2 linked regions of the Pelodiscus sinensis genome follow. The protein of the gene in region 2 binds, or shares a complex with, the protein of the main gene of each other region. Links are inferred from orthologs where the notes say so. Each region holds a gene or a part of one and is shown on either strand. Other genes may lie near its edges.

The links. Proteins that work in one complex are often made in the same cells at the same time.
Region 1: the proteins of TNKS2 (region 2) and SH3BP2 are in contact, whole or in part, in a crystal structure (PDB 3TWR), measured with the Homo sapiens proteins. The link is inferred for Pelodiscus sinensis from reciprocal best matches to the Homo sapiens genes TNKS2 and SH3BP2. Residues at the interface, in NP_079511.1 of Homo sapiens: Arg525, Ser527, His531, Phe532, Gly535, Tyr536, Asn537, Arg538, Leu560, Asn565, Ser568, Tyr569, His571, Asp589, Trp591, Phe593, Glu598, Lys604; in NP_001116153.1 of Homo sapiens: Leu413, Gln414, Arg415, Ser416, Pro417, Pro418, Asp419, Gly420, Gln421, Ser422, Arg424.

What each region holds. Positions count from the first base shown.
Region 1 is NC_134715.1:117,061,391-117,068,215, reverse strand, and holds the start of SH3BP2 (SH3 domain-binding protein 2), read left to right. Parts: upstream 1-3,805; 5' UTR 3,806-4,340; coding exon 4,341-4,462; intron 4,463-6,825. UniProt on the Homo sapiens protein: Binds differentially to the SH3 domains of certain proteins of signal transduction pathways. Binds to phosphatidylinositols; linking the hemopoietic tyrosine kinase fes to the cytoplasmic membrane in a phosphorylation dependent mechanism.
Region 2 is NC_134718.1:40,946,189-40,953,544, forward strand, and holds the start of TNKS2 (poly [ADP-ribose] polymerase tankyrase-2), read left to right. Parts: upstream 1-4,344; 5' UTR 4,345-4,511; coding exon 4,512-4,710; intron 4,711-7,356. UniProt on the Homo sapiens protein: Poly-ADP-ribosyltransferase involved in various processes such as Wnt signaling pathway, telomere length and vesicle trafficking.

The DNA of each region.
Region 1 (6,825 bases), on a different chromosome or scaffold from region 2:
TGGCTTTCGTGGCCTCGTCTTGGTCACCATTGTTTCTCCGGGTCCTCATAAGGATCCTGAACCTGTTCTTGTGCAAGAATCACCTGAGCACCCAGGCACACCTTCCCCATAGCCACCAGCATCTTGAATGTCTAGTGTTTTTGGGGACATCAGGGAATCGCCGCTTCATTTACATTTACATGGCTGCCGCGCTGAGCCGACAAACAGCTGATCAGCTGTTTGTCAGCTCAGCGTGATAGTCTGGACGCTCCCCTGCCGACATCAAAGGTATTTGTCGACCACCCAGGTATGCTTCATTTTACTATGTGTGGTACCCTAATCTACATGCCTCTGTCGCCAGAGGCATGTAGTCTAGATGTACCCTATGATAAGTTTTGTACAAAGTATCCCTTTTGAGGTGTCATATGAAACCTCGTCATTTGCTGATCATTATTGATCTAATAAAATATGTGTGGAAACAATGCATGTAAAGTTCATAAGATTCTTTGTATGCTACTACTAGACATGTTCCATGTCTGGGGGAGCAGCCACAGACCAGTTTCCAGAGATAAGACGCTTATCGGTGCCTCAGCCAGGTGTCAGTAAAATCAAATAGACCATCTCCTGGTTAAGTGACATTTCTTTGGCAGGAAAAAGGATGTGGATAAAGATCTGCATCTCGTCGGAGATTTCTGTCCACATGGACTTGCTGTCTCCTGAACCTCAGTAGAAGATGATTCTCAAAGAAGAGAAAGGGAAGAGGCACTCCAAATTGTTCCTCCCTTTCTCTCTGCCCATTCATAATGCCTGAAGAACAAAGGAAACAACTTTGGACCAGGGGAGGGAACCTAGACTGAAAGGAGAGAGTTGGACAGTACAAAATGCATATTTTTGGGATGGAGAATTTGCTGGTGTTGCTTTTCAGTGTTATTCAAGTGTGTGTGGCAGCAGCACTCATATACCCTAATGGAGAATGACTTGCACATTGGAAACTGTGTGGGAACAGACCAGGAGTTGTAACCAGCAGGGTAATTGGTATCTGTGGTTGGAGAACTGAAGGGACGCAGGCATTCGTCAGTCCAGATTATATCCTGGGTAATGTCATACTTAACAAAACCTCACCGTGGGAGGTAGGTAACATTTGGACTAATAAGTGTAGATACATTAAAAACTTGCTTTCAAGGTTCTGCCTCAGCTATACTCACCCTTGGGATTGTGAAGAGGTTTCAGATACTCTCCGCCACCCTTGCTTCTTACTTACTACTAACTGTGGGGAGGGGTTCCAGGCAAAGTGGAAGGAGGACTTCAGGTGGTGTCCTGGTATGGAAAAGGGTTGAGAACTGCTTTCCTACCCAATACCAACCCTTTCTGTATCTCAGCCTAGATCTAATCTAGATCCTTCTTCTACAGCCTTTCTTCTTTTTTAAGCCATGCACCTAATCATATTGTTCATAGCCTCCTTCTTTTTCCATATCATTCCTTGTGCTTGGAAACTCTTCCATCCCCAACACTGACTCATGTGTTTTTAAAACACACATCTTCCTTGAAGGCTGCCTATTCTGATCCACCAAAATAAGTAAAGTATGCAGCACATAGCATATGCTTCTTAAACATCTTGTCCCCACCACTGTGAACTGTGCTAATCATCTATTGTATTATGTGGTTTAACTGTGCTTTTTATCCTGTGGCGTTGCCTAACTCAGACTGGTTAATATGGATTTTTTGCATCTTTATCACATAAGACCGCTAGGTTAGGGATGTTAAATTTAATTAAACTAATTGACTAGATGATGGAATTTCCATCGACTAGTCCATTAGATGATAAGACAGGGAGCCGCAGTGGGGTTAGCTCCTGGCCCTGGGAACTTACCCTGCTGCGGCTTTGTCTTTTAAATGTATTATTTGCTGGCAGGCTGAAGCAAAACGGGGGGAACCCAGTGCAAGCTGGGAATCAGCTGTCCTGGCTCGCGCCGGATGTCTCCTTCCCTCCAGCTGCACTTCTGCTTTTTAAATGTATTAAGAGCCAGCTCTTAATACATTTAGAAAGCAGAGGAGCAGTGTACTGGGACTGGGTACAAGCCAGGAATCAGCTGATTTCCAGCTCATGCCTGGTCCCCGCTAGCCCTCTGCTTCCCATGTCCTCCTGCAGAGACGGTGCTGGAGGATCTGACTTTTAAGATGGCTCTCCCCAGCACCCCATTCCTGCTGCCTCTGATACAGGCAGCAAGGGGCAGGAGGAAGAGACTAGTCAAGGGAAGTTGCTACATCAGGTGAGGGGGCTATAACTGTGTATGCTAGTGGTATTATTATATACCATCATTGTCAGATAGCCCTTATATTGTAGAATTTTGTCTTTATGTTGTAAGATCCTTTAGGCAGAGTTTTGTCTTCCTTTGTGCTTTGTATAAGGTGAAATATGGTGATCGTATTAAGGCATTCCTTCTATTATAAAGGGTGAACTTTCTGCAGTCATTTTGTGAGTATTTAACTAGGGATGTTAAATTTAGTTTAATCAACCAATCGACTCGTCAATAGATTTTCAATTGACTAGTCAATTAGTTGATAAGTGGGGAGCTGCAGCGGGGCTAGCTACTGGCTCGGGAGCTTACCCTGCTGCGGCTCTGCCTTTTAAATCAGTGGTCTCCAACCAGTCCATCGGGATCTACTGGTAGATCTTGGAGCCTCTGACAGGTGATCCTGACTGGTTTGGCCAAGAGGCTATCAGGTGCTGAAACTTCAGCTGCCTCTTCCCACACTGCTGCATATCTCCTGCCCTTTGCTTTGGAGCTGTCCCCTCAGGAGCCTCCTGCTTGCTGTGCAGGGAAGGGGAGGGAAGGGAGTGGAATGGAGGGCGCTGATGTCAAGGTGCTTTCAACCACCCTTTATTCTATCTCCACAGAGCAGAGTGGGGGCACAAAAGGTCTTGGGATGGAGTTTGATGCTGCTTTTGGGAGTGGTGCAGGGCCAGGGCAGGGGTGGATCTGCCTTAGCCACACTGCACCACCACCCAGGAGCCACCTGAGGTAAGCAGTGCCCAGCTGGAGCCCACATCTTGAACCCCTACCATAGCCATAAACCCTCTCCTGCACCCCAAGGCCCTACCCTCGCTCCGAGTACCCCTACATCCAAACACCTACCCAGAGCCTGCACCTACAACCCCCTCTGACACCCCAATTGCCTGCCCCAAGCTCAGATCAGAATCCCTCTCACATGCTAAATCCCTTAATCCAAGACCAGAACCTGCACCCCAAAGTGTTGCCCCAGCCTGGGGAAAGTGAGGGAGAATGGGGGAGGGAGTAAGCAGGGGCAGGTCCTCAGAGAAGGAGTGCAAAGGAGGCAGGGCAAGGTTGTTTGGGTATGAGGCAGATCTTGGATTGCACTTAAATTAAAGAAGTGATCTCGTTCTTAAAAAGGTTGGAGACCACTGCTTTTAAATGGATTAAGAGCCTATTGGCTCTTAATCAATTTAAAAGGCTAATGTGCAGCACAAGGGACCCAGCGTGAGCTCTTAATACATTTAAAAGGCTGGTGCACAGCTCTTTTAATACACTTAAAAAGCAGAGGTGCATCTGGGACTAGGTGTGAGTCTGGAATCAGCTGATTCCCACTACGCCTCTGCCCCCAACAGAGATGGTGCTGGCGGAGAACTGGCTTTTAAGCCGGTTCCACCAGCACTGGCTCCTGCTCCCCCCACCTCTTGCTGCCACCCTGCCCTTTGTTGCAGCAAGGGTAGTGGTGGGGGAGTCACTAGTCGACTGTCTGACAAACAAAAGCTTATCGGATAGTTGACTAGTTGCTTACATCCCTATCTTTAACAAGATGGCTGTTTTTAGTTCCTTTGGGGAATATTAGAGAGAAATATTTAATCCATTTCCTGTATTATAAATCAACATCATTTGAAACATTTGCTGTTCTGTAAGCAGTAAGCAATGGTTCTGAATCATGCTTCCACAGGATTGTAAACTCAAGCATGCAATCTCCCTCCACCCTTCCTCTTTTGAATCCTCCACTTCATGATGAAAAAAATATAAAAACAGCTGTAGTAGTGGAATCTCCCCCTTTGTGGCTAGTGGGCTGCCACTGGTTGAGACTTTTGTGAGTTTCATTTTACTAGCTCTCTGGCGAATCAGGAGGTTTGTGATACAGATATGCTACCCAATGACCCCTGGGAACAGGAAGCAACACACATTCACATTGTGAACAAAAAAGGAAACAACTCATTGCTGAGGCGTGACGGCGTCCCACTTGACAGCATGGAAGGGTCAGGACAGAGTTTTTTCTCCGCCTTTTAATAAGAAACCTGAAGCTACAGCAGCAACAATCAGTGATATTTAATCTATAGGTGCACACTAGGGGGAGATATGCTGACTTCCTTACCTGAGGGGGATTATAAATGGCTAATGGCTTCATACGTACAAAGGAAACGCTCATTCGGTGCCACGTTCAGTAAGAAAACTATGTGTCAGTCAGATTTTGTCACCAGGTTAGTATGAATTTGTAGTTTGTTAATCTAGATTCTTTATCTCTAGAACGAGTAAACTAATATTACATCCTGAAAAGAATCCTCTTTTGTTCCTGACTTTTCTGTGTGAATTAAGAATGAATCAACAATCTTCATTTAAAGAAAGGGGAGGGGGCTGAATGGGGAAGGAAGGCAGTTTAGTGAAATGTAAAGCTAGTCAAGTCACTATGTGCATAGTAAACTTGTTCATAATTGAATGCTTTGCAGTGGGGTTTAGTCTTAGTCTCGCTCTTCCCAAAATACTGACCAGACTCCACAGTGTTGCCAGTATCAATAAGTGGTCTTTCTGAGGGAACTGTTGTTGAAAATGGAGGCAAGAAAGGGATCAACTGGACAAAAATATATTTTGTCTATCTGTCTTTTATTGGAACTTTCATTTGGAAATGGATTGACTTAGTGGAAGAATATCTGAGGTCTCTAAAAAGTTAGAAATTCCAGTTTTAGGAACAGAAAGTAAATGTGTGTCTTGCTGACGCTGAAATGGTAGAATTTGTTCTGATGCGCTTTAGAATATGCTGCTGCTTTTCTTTCTGCTCTTTCCAGCCTGGTTGAGTGTATAGTGTTATCTCACTCTGGGAAAGGCCACCTGTGAAAGATGGACATTTCAATAGTCCTTCCCTCCATCTTAATTTACTGCAACATTTCTTTTGTTGTATGATTTGTACTTTCAAAAGCTTTCTCCACTGAGATCTCCCTTTTCATGGGTGTATTGTCAAGATGGGACTTAAAGATGAAATGCTACAGTACATATGATATTATGGCACTTTTAAAAATTCTCAAACATAAAGTGTCTGACACTTCTGAGCTCAAGTTTAATGTTTTGTGCAAAAAGAGTAAATTAATAGGATATTACTTCCTGAAAAGAATCCTCTTTTCTTCTTGACTCTATGTGAATTAAGGATGGATCAATCTTCATTTAAAAAAAAAAAACAAAAAAGTCGGGGGATGATGGGGAAGGAAGGCACTTTGGTGAAATTAAAAGCAAGTCACTATGTGCACAGTAAACTTGTTCATAATTGAATGCTTTGTAGTGGTATTCAATTCCCAGTCTCTTTCATCTCTTAATACTGACTTGACAATGTGTAGTTTATTAGTGTAACTTGGAAAGGCTATTTTTCATTTGCTACGGTCCTCTATGTTTAACAACACAGGGTGCAAATAGTATCACAGAAAGCTAAGACATCCAATATAACATAGGGTTGGTAAAAGCTTAGAGATAAAAATAACATGATTTTTTTAGGCCTGAATCGTGCAAGACATTAAGTCGAAACTGCAAGGTGCAAGTTGCCTCAATTCCAGTTGATTTCAGTTGGAATTAAGGGCATGCAATGTCATGCAGGATGAAGTTGTTAATTGTTAATCTGTATTTAGTCTGGATGTTTTTGCACCATTAACATATTTTTAGATTAATAGATTTTAAGGCCAAAAGAGTCTTTTCATTTACAATACACACCTGATTTTGAAGGTAAAATTGCTTTCATTTTATGTAATTCTAAACACATAACTGAATCTAACTGCATTTTAAATTAATGAAGGAATGGGATTTCATTTCTCGATAAGATTTAGATAATTGATTTGAGCACCCCCATCAGATGCAGACATCTGCAATTTTTCTGCAGTTATTTCATTAACCAAAGGCCATTATACCAAGACTGAAAACCTCTCTACACCGTCATATTGAAGTGGTATTACCAAGAGGGCAACATAAATAGTGTGTGAAAGGAATCTGCCTTCGGCTGACTGTATGCCGTTATTTGCAATGCTGTTGTTGATCCCAGGGTATTAGAAAGACAAGGTAGATGAGGTAATATGTTGGACAAATGTCTGTTGCTGTAGCTAGAAAGAGACAAGCTTTCTAGCTACACAGAGCTCTTCCTTAGGCATTAGAAAGGTATTCAATGTCATTGTCGTAGCTAAATATAAGGTGGAACAGATTTTTGAGCAGTAGTAGTAAAAGCCCTTTTATCCAGCACTTTACCAACCAGCAAGCACAATAAACTAGCATTTCTGATCTGCACAGAAAGTCTTATTTATAGTGCATTTGGTGTGGGACAAGCAAGGAAGTTTGGATCTTGGAGTAGGGGTTGTGAAGTGGGAGGGCTTAGGATGCTGGATAGAAGGACGTGCACCTCTGGCAGCCCTCTCAATTGGTTCCCAGTCCCCGCTGTTGCTGGTGGAGGTGAAGGATGGATTTGGAGTGCGGAGCATGGAAAGGACTGTGGGGAAAGGGGATGGGAGCACAGGCTCTGGGGGGTGGCAGCTTGGTGCCTGGTGTTGGGAAACAGAAGGGACTTGGGGTGCTGAATAGGGGGACACTCTCTTTT
Region 2 (7,356 bases):
ATAATGTGTTGGACAGGTTTAAGTTGGGGGTTGTAGGTGATGACAAGTGGTGTTCTATTGTTGGTTTTCTTGGGTCTGTCTTGAAGTAGATGGTTTCTAGGTATTCGTCTGGTTCTTTCAATTTGCTTTTTTATTTCTCTGGGTGGGTAGTTGAGGTTTATAAATGCTTGGTAGAGATCCTGAAGCTTCTAGTCTCTATCAGTGGGATTAGAGCAGATGCGGTTGTATCGAAGGCCTTGGTTATAGACGATGGATCGTGTGGTGTGTTCTGGATGGGAGCTGGAAGCATGTAGGTAACTGTATGAGTCGGTGGGTTTTCTGTAGAGAGTGGTGTCTAATTTTCCATTGTTGATTTGTACTGTGGTGTCCAGGAAGTGGATCTCTCATGTAGAATGGTCCAGGCTGAGGTTGATGGTGGGGTGTAGGTTGTTGAAATCTCTGTGGAATATCTCCAGTGTTTCTTGGCTATGCGTCCAGATCATAAAGACATCGTCGATGTACCATAGGTAGAGAAGGGGTGAAAGGGGACGGGAGTTGAGGAAACGTTGTTCTAGGTCAGCCATAAAGATGTTAGCATACTGTGGGGCCATGCGTGTACCCATGGCTGTGCCGCTGATCTGGAGGTATAAGTTGTTCTCAAACTGGAAATAATTGTGGGTGAGAACAAAGTTACATAGGTCTGCTATCAGGTTGGCAGTAGTGTCCTCTGGGATAGTGTTTCTAATTGCTTGTAATCGCAATGGCCCCACAGTATGCTAACACTCAGAACACTCAAACAATCTTACCCATTATCAAGATAGCTTCCCCAATTATCACCTCTAATACCATTAACTCACAAACATCCCACTCTCCCCACCTCTAGTATCATCAATTCACAGACACTTACCTTCCTTCCTCTCCCCCCCCTCCTCCCCCAGCATTCCCCTCCTGTTCTGAAATGTGATTTGTCCTTTTCATGTGTCTGTCTGTGTCTGTGTCTACATTGCACCTGAAGCTTGAAATAAGCCACGCAATTTGAGCTTTGCAAATTGCATCGCTTATTTCAAGTCAATTTTGAAATCACTTATTTTGAAATTTGGCAGTTTACACAGTACTTTTCAAAATAAATCACTATTCCAAAATGTCTCTTACTCCTCATGGAATGAGGTTTACAGGGATGTTGGAATAGCGAGCCTGTTAGATTTCAAAATAACGGGTTCACTCAAAAGCCGCAGAATACCTCCGGTATCCTGAAATAGCACTGCAGTGTAGACATAGCGTCTTTCACTTTCTCTAGACTTCAGTGGGAGCTGCTGGAAGCTTGGCACTTTTAAAAATCAAGTGACCTGGATGCCTAAATTACAGGGGGCTCATAAGTGTCCTATAGTTAAAACACCTGCAAACTTTCTATTTAAGAATACAGATGTAAGAATGTAGCTGTGTAAATGTGTAACAATAAGCATGAGCTTATTAGTTACCCAAATGGCTACACCCAGTTCCTGGTCTGGTTCTCAGGATACAGAGGCAGCAGCATGGGACAGCAGGTGGAAGCCAGTACATGTGGGGAGCCAACTTAAAAGCTGGGTCTCGGCACATGCCAGTTCCTAGGGAGCTGGCTGCCCTCCCCTCCATGTAACTGCTGAAATCAGCAGTTACTTGGTTAATCAGTTACACACATTTTAACATCCCTATTTTAAGAGTCACCTTTACAAAACGCTGTGCAATCCACACACCTATGAAGATTGCAATGGAAACTGGTAGACTACTTAAAGGATATGCATAGAATATCTGATGGGAAAATCAGAACAATCTGACAAGTGTCCTAAAGATATAAGTTCTCCAAAACCAGATCTGATTATTAAAATTACTCTGATTCTTTTTACCCTAAAATGTCAAGAGAATGGGAGACTGCAGAGTGTGCATGTAGAAAATCTGGCCTGAATTTCCCGCTTAAATTTCAACAAAGGTGAGAGTTTGGTTTAATAAAACTTATTCTTCAAGAAAGCAAAGTCTCATTCCTGAAAGAGAGAACATGTCGACACTATGAACTTTGGGCTTGAATAAATATACTAGTTAATGCACTACAAAGGCAATTTCCCCCACCTTTTGATATTCTCATTCCCACATCAAATGCTATGAATCGGATAAATAGAGCCTTATTTATTTGGCTTAATTAACACTAGTTCTATAATTGACAAGTAACTGTTTTTGCTGGATTCTGTAATTTCCATTCCAACTCATCTAATGAAGTGCATTTTACCCACAAAATCCTATGACCTAATATAATTGTTAGGCTCTAGGGACAGGTCTACACTAGGAAATTATTTTGAAATAACTATATTTGAAATAAATCCCAAATTAACAAAATCGAAATAGCATGGCCTGAGTTTGGGGAAGCTGCAAAATTAGTCTGAGGCAGGCTCCTTTATTGTGAATGCGCTACCTCAACTTAAGAGTCCCAGGAAGCACTGGGGAGTAATTACTTTGAATTACTTGGGGGAGTGGTCATTTCAAAATAGCAGTGAAGTGTTCACACTAACACTATTTTGAAATAACTATTTCAAAATAAGTGTTATTCCCTGAGGAAAGCAGGAGTTATTTTGAAATAACCAGCCCATTACTTTGAAATAATGGGCTTGGTAGTGTGGATGCTCTGCTTGTTATTTTGAAATAAGGGGAGTTAGGCCAGGACTAAGATGTCACAGGACTGCTTGTTATTTTTAAAAAGTTACAGAATACCATGGCTACCCCCCTGAAACTTTTTAGCTCACAATTGTTTAGGAGGAGCTCAAAGACAGACTGATGAACTGACCTGTCCATAGAGGGCTTGTCACTTGACACTAATGTCCCAGGTAAACAGTGAAGGCACTAGTTTGCCACAGAAATTCTCCAAGGATACTCCCAAGTACAGGCATAAGAATGACCTTAGCAATGAAGGCAAGTCTAGATCAGCTACTGCCTTAGAGCCACAAGCCCTTGAGTTTGGCTCTTCTTCTTACCTGTCTCCTCACCATCCATTTTGCCAACTGACTTAGTCACTTTGCATTGCAAAGTAGTGTGATTACTTTTATCCATATGGCCTCTTTGGACTTACCAGAAAACTATGGGCAGCATTCACATACAAATTATAAACCTGGCATACTTCTGACCATACATGCCTTGGTGCTTTGTGAACAGACTCACAAGGGACTCTGTGGGATTTAAGAGCAAAGATGATGCAGGGATTTAGCCAGGAAAAATGTAACTAGAACCCTGACTTCCACTTCACTCATCACAGCTGATACCCAGCCACATCTGTAGGGCAGGGTACAAATTAGGGAGGTTAAAAATGCAGTTAATTGGGATCAGCGGGGGACTCAGAGCCCCGCTCCCCCTGATCCTGGGCTCCATGCTATGATGCATGCTTCTAGGAGCCCAGGGCCAGCTGGACACTCCCAGCTGGTCCCGGGGCTCTCCTCTGCATTTCTTGGGGCACCCACACCATCCCACCAACTGAGCTAAGTTACACTGAGCTCAATGCAATGGTAGGGTTGCCAGGTTTTGAACCAGACAGTCTGGTATTTGAGCTTTCAGCACAGGAAACAAATTGAGAAAATACTGGACATATAAATGTCTGGTATTTTCTAATTAAGTAAGTTTTATTATTAAAATAAAAATATCAGTATGTAGTTGCATACTGCCTGGACGGTAGACACGCTCAGGCTGTGTAAGCATGTCTACCAGCCAGGCAGTACACAACTACACAGTCGAGAAGAGGAGGGTGGGGGTGGGATAGAATCCCAGACCGGACTTGACAGTGCGCCCTGCCGGACCGTGCACTGGATGGGCAGCACCCCAGGATCTGAGAGCACCTGGGCCAGCCCCACTCCCCACTGGCCAGTCCCCCCACCCCTCACAGCCAGCCCAGCTCCCCACCGGCAGTCCCCCCAGCCTCGCTCCTGGCCAGTCCCACCCCCCATCTGAGATCAACGGTGTCTGGTATTTTTTTGAAATCATCTGGTAACTCTACGTAATGGCGCAGCTGTATCCGCCGCCGCCCCCCCCAACACACAACCGCTGACTCTCGCCTGGGGAAGCTCCAGGCTGCGTGGAGGCAGCGGGCAGATCTCCTGAGCCGCGAGCCCAGCACAGCAGGAGGCGCTGCATCGCCCTGTCTTCAGGAGCGAGATCCCCCCCCCACCACCACTGGGCTCTCTCACGCAAGTTCAACCAGCCCAGCCTATCGCCACTCCCACTACGCACGCGCGGAGGGGGGGGGGGAGAGAAATTATCGCCTCGCGCAGGCGCACAGAGCAACACGCGTTCTCTGTGCATGGTCCAATGGCGGCGCTTGTCCTTACTGCGCATGCTCTGCATGCCGCACAATCAGGCGCTCCCCGGCGGCGGCCGTACGGCGCGCCGTGCCTAGCAGCTGGGGGTGGGGGAGAGTGGCCGCTGCTTCCGTCTCTAGCCGAGCGTGTTGGGAGCCGGGGCCATGGCGGGGGGCCGCCTGTGATCCCCGAAGCGCTGCAGCGGCTGGGGAGGGGAGCGCTATGGCCGGGCGGCGCGGCATGGGCGCGGCCGGCCCCTTGGAGGCGCCGGGCTGCGGGCCCGCGGCGGAGCCGGCCCGGGAGCTGTTCGAGGCCTGCAGGAACGGGGACGTGGAGCGAGTCAAGCGGCTGGTGCGGCCCGAGAACGTGAACAGCAGGGACACGGCGGGCAGGAAGTCCAGCCCCTTGCACTTCGCCGCAGGTACCGAGCTCACGGCTGCTCTGGTGGGCCCGGGCCTGCGTGGGAGCGAGCGCGCTCCGGCTGCCCCGAGGATCCCGCCCTTGGCCCCCTTCGTGTGGCGGGGCTTCGCTAGCTGCCAGTGGCCGGCCGTACGGGCTCCTGGTTCCGCACAGCCTGTCTCCACTGGAGGGGCCGTGTCTGCGCTCTAGTGACGGGCCTTGGGGGTTTCTGCCCTGTCCCCCTTCACTTGTGCCCTCGCCAGCCTGGCGATCCGCCCTGCTTGCCGGGCGCCGAACACCGTTTGGGGGTTGTGAGTTGAAGGGAGGATACGGCCGCTGATTAGGTGGAATAACCTCTGAATAAGGTGCTGGGCCAGGACTGGAGATTTGGGTTCAGGTCTAGGCTGTGTTTCCCAGACGTCCTGTGATCTTTGACAAGTCCTTTGAATCTCGAGTCGTGCTGGTTCCCTTCGTGTAAAACTGAAGTCACTGTTTACAAAAATGTGAGGAGAGACTTTATGTACTATATTGAGTAGGGTATGTAAGTGTCGAGACTGAGAGTTAAGGGAAGAATTACCTTATCTCATGTTGATTTTAAAGTAGTTACTGAAATTTGACAGTTGATCCTCTTGTATCTCTTCAGGAGCAGACCTGGCTATAGGTGAGCTGTCCATATACTTGTGTTGACTCTTTGCTTGCACATGACAACTCATTTTTAGAGATATATGCTCATTCTGGACATGGTACAAAATGTAATAGCCCATTGTTTGCTTAACGTAGGTCATTGTGGATATATAGCCTTGCTGTTCCACTTTTGGTTCAGGTTATCCATTGACAGGGCTTGACAAGTGGCAGCGAGCCCCGCTCGCAAGCTGCATGGTTAATAGATGCCTGCTGAAGGCATTTCTTCTCATATTCATAAGCCTTTGTGGGGTTAGCCATAGTTTTCTGAAATTCTCTTGCAGGATAGCTTGGTTCCAATGGACCTGTGAAACAGTTTATCTGTTAAAGTGAAGCTTATGAACGCATGAGACAACTTTAATAGGCTATGGAACTCCTGATGCTTTCAAAACCTAACGACCAAATTCACTACTTTCAGTGACTTTTTTCCTCAATAAGATCTTGCACCTACAATTGATTGACAAAGTCAAATTCCTTTGTTAGCCTGTCAAGTTGTTTCTACTACAAGCTTGAAAGAGACTTTTCTATTTTAATTATTGAAGGGACACTTGCAGTATAGTCCCTCTAAGTGCCTTCATAAGAATAACCTTTTTCAGTATTGCACAATAGAACTTTCAAGGTCTGAATAACCTTCAAAAAAAATCACACTACTTCTATAGGATTGAATTCCAAATAGAAACAGACATACAGGCAGTCCCCGACTTACGTGGATCCGACTTATGTCGGATCCGCACTTACGAACCGGGCTTTCTCGCCCCGGAGCTCGCCGGCAGCGATCCGCCACCTCGACCTCCGGGGCGAGAAAAGCTGCTCCCGGTGCCCCTGGTCTGCTGGAGACTGTCTCCAGCAGACCAGGGGCACCGGGAGAGAAGCCACAGCAGCGGCCCCAGGGTCCACAACAAAAGCCTGGTCTGCTGGGGGGGGGGGGCACACTAGCTGCGCCCCCCCCCCCAGCAGACCAGGGACATGGGGAGCAAAGCTGCAGCGGCAGCGGGGTGCCGCGCCTCTGAGGCTTTGCCCGAGCAAAGCCTCAGAGGCGCGGGACCCTGACGCTGCTGCGGCTTCGCTCTCGGTGTCTCTGGTCTGCTGGGGACCGTCTCCAGCAGACCAGGGACACCGGGAGCGAAGCCGCAGCCGCGACAGGGTCCCGCGCCTCTGAGGCTTTGCTCGGGCAAAGCCTCAGAGGCGCGGCACCCCGCTGCCGCTGCAGCTTTGCTCCCGGTGTCCCTGGTCTGCTGGGGGGGGGGGGGGGGGCGCAGCTAGTGTGCCCCCCCCCCCCCAGCAGACCAGGATTTTGTTGTGGACCCTGGGGCAGAGCAGCTGGAGCGCTGCCGATTGGTCCTGCAGCGCCGCTCTGGGCACTACTGGACCAACGCAGCAGCACCCCAGCTGCTCTGCCCCAGGCATCCTGATTCAGCCGCTGCTGAAACTGACCAGCACTGACTACAGGAAGCCCGAGGCAGAGTTGCTCTGCCCCAGGCTTCCTGTAGTCAGTGCTGGTCAGTTTCAGCAGCGGCTGACTTGGGGACGCTTGGGGTTCTTAAGTTGAATCTGTATGTAAGTCAGAACTGGCGGTCAGTTTCAGCAGTGGCTGAATCTGGATGCCAGTTCCGACTTACATACAGATTCAACTTAAGAACAAACCTACAGTCCCTATCTTGTACGTAACCCGGGGACTGCCTGTATTTGAGGTGGTGTGTGCGCAGTTACATAGCAAAGATATTGGCAGTAGTGGGTTCCATATTCCTCCCTTTGCTTTCTGAATACAGTTACTAATGTCTCCCTTCCTAAAACTTCAGGATCTTTCTGGCAGACACAAAGACTTGTTAGCCTCTCCTGAAAAGATATATATCTGCCTTCCCTTGGATGGAACTTTTCTATTATGAATGGAAAATGAAAAAAGAGTACAGTTGTAGCAAACTTTTTGTTGTTGTTCCATTATGTGAATAAGTGATACTTTGTCTTCTAACTCTGGAGGATTACCAGA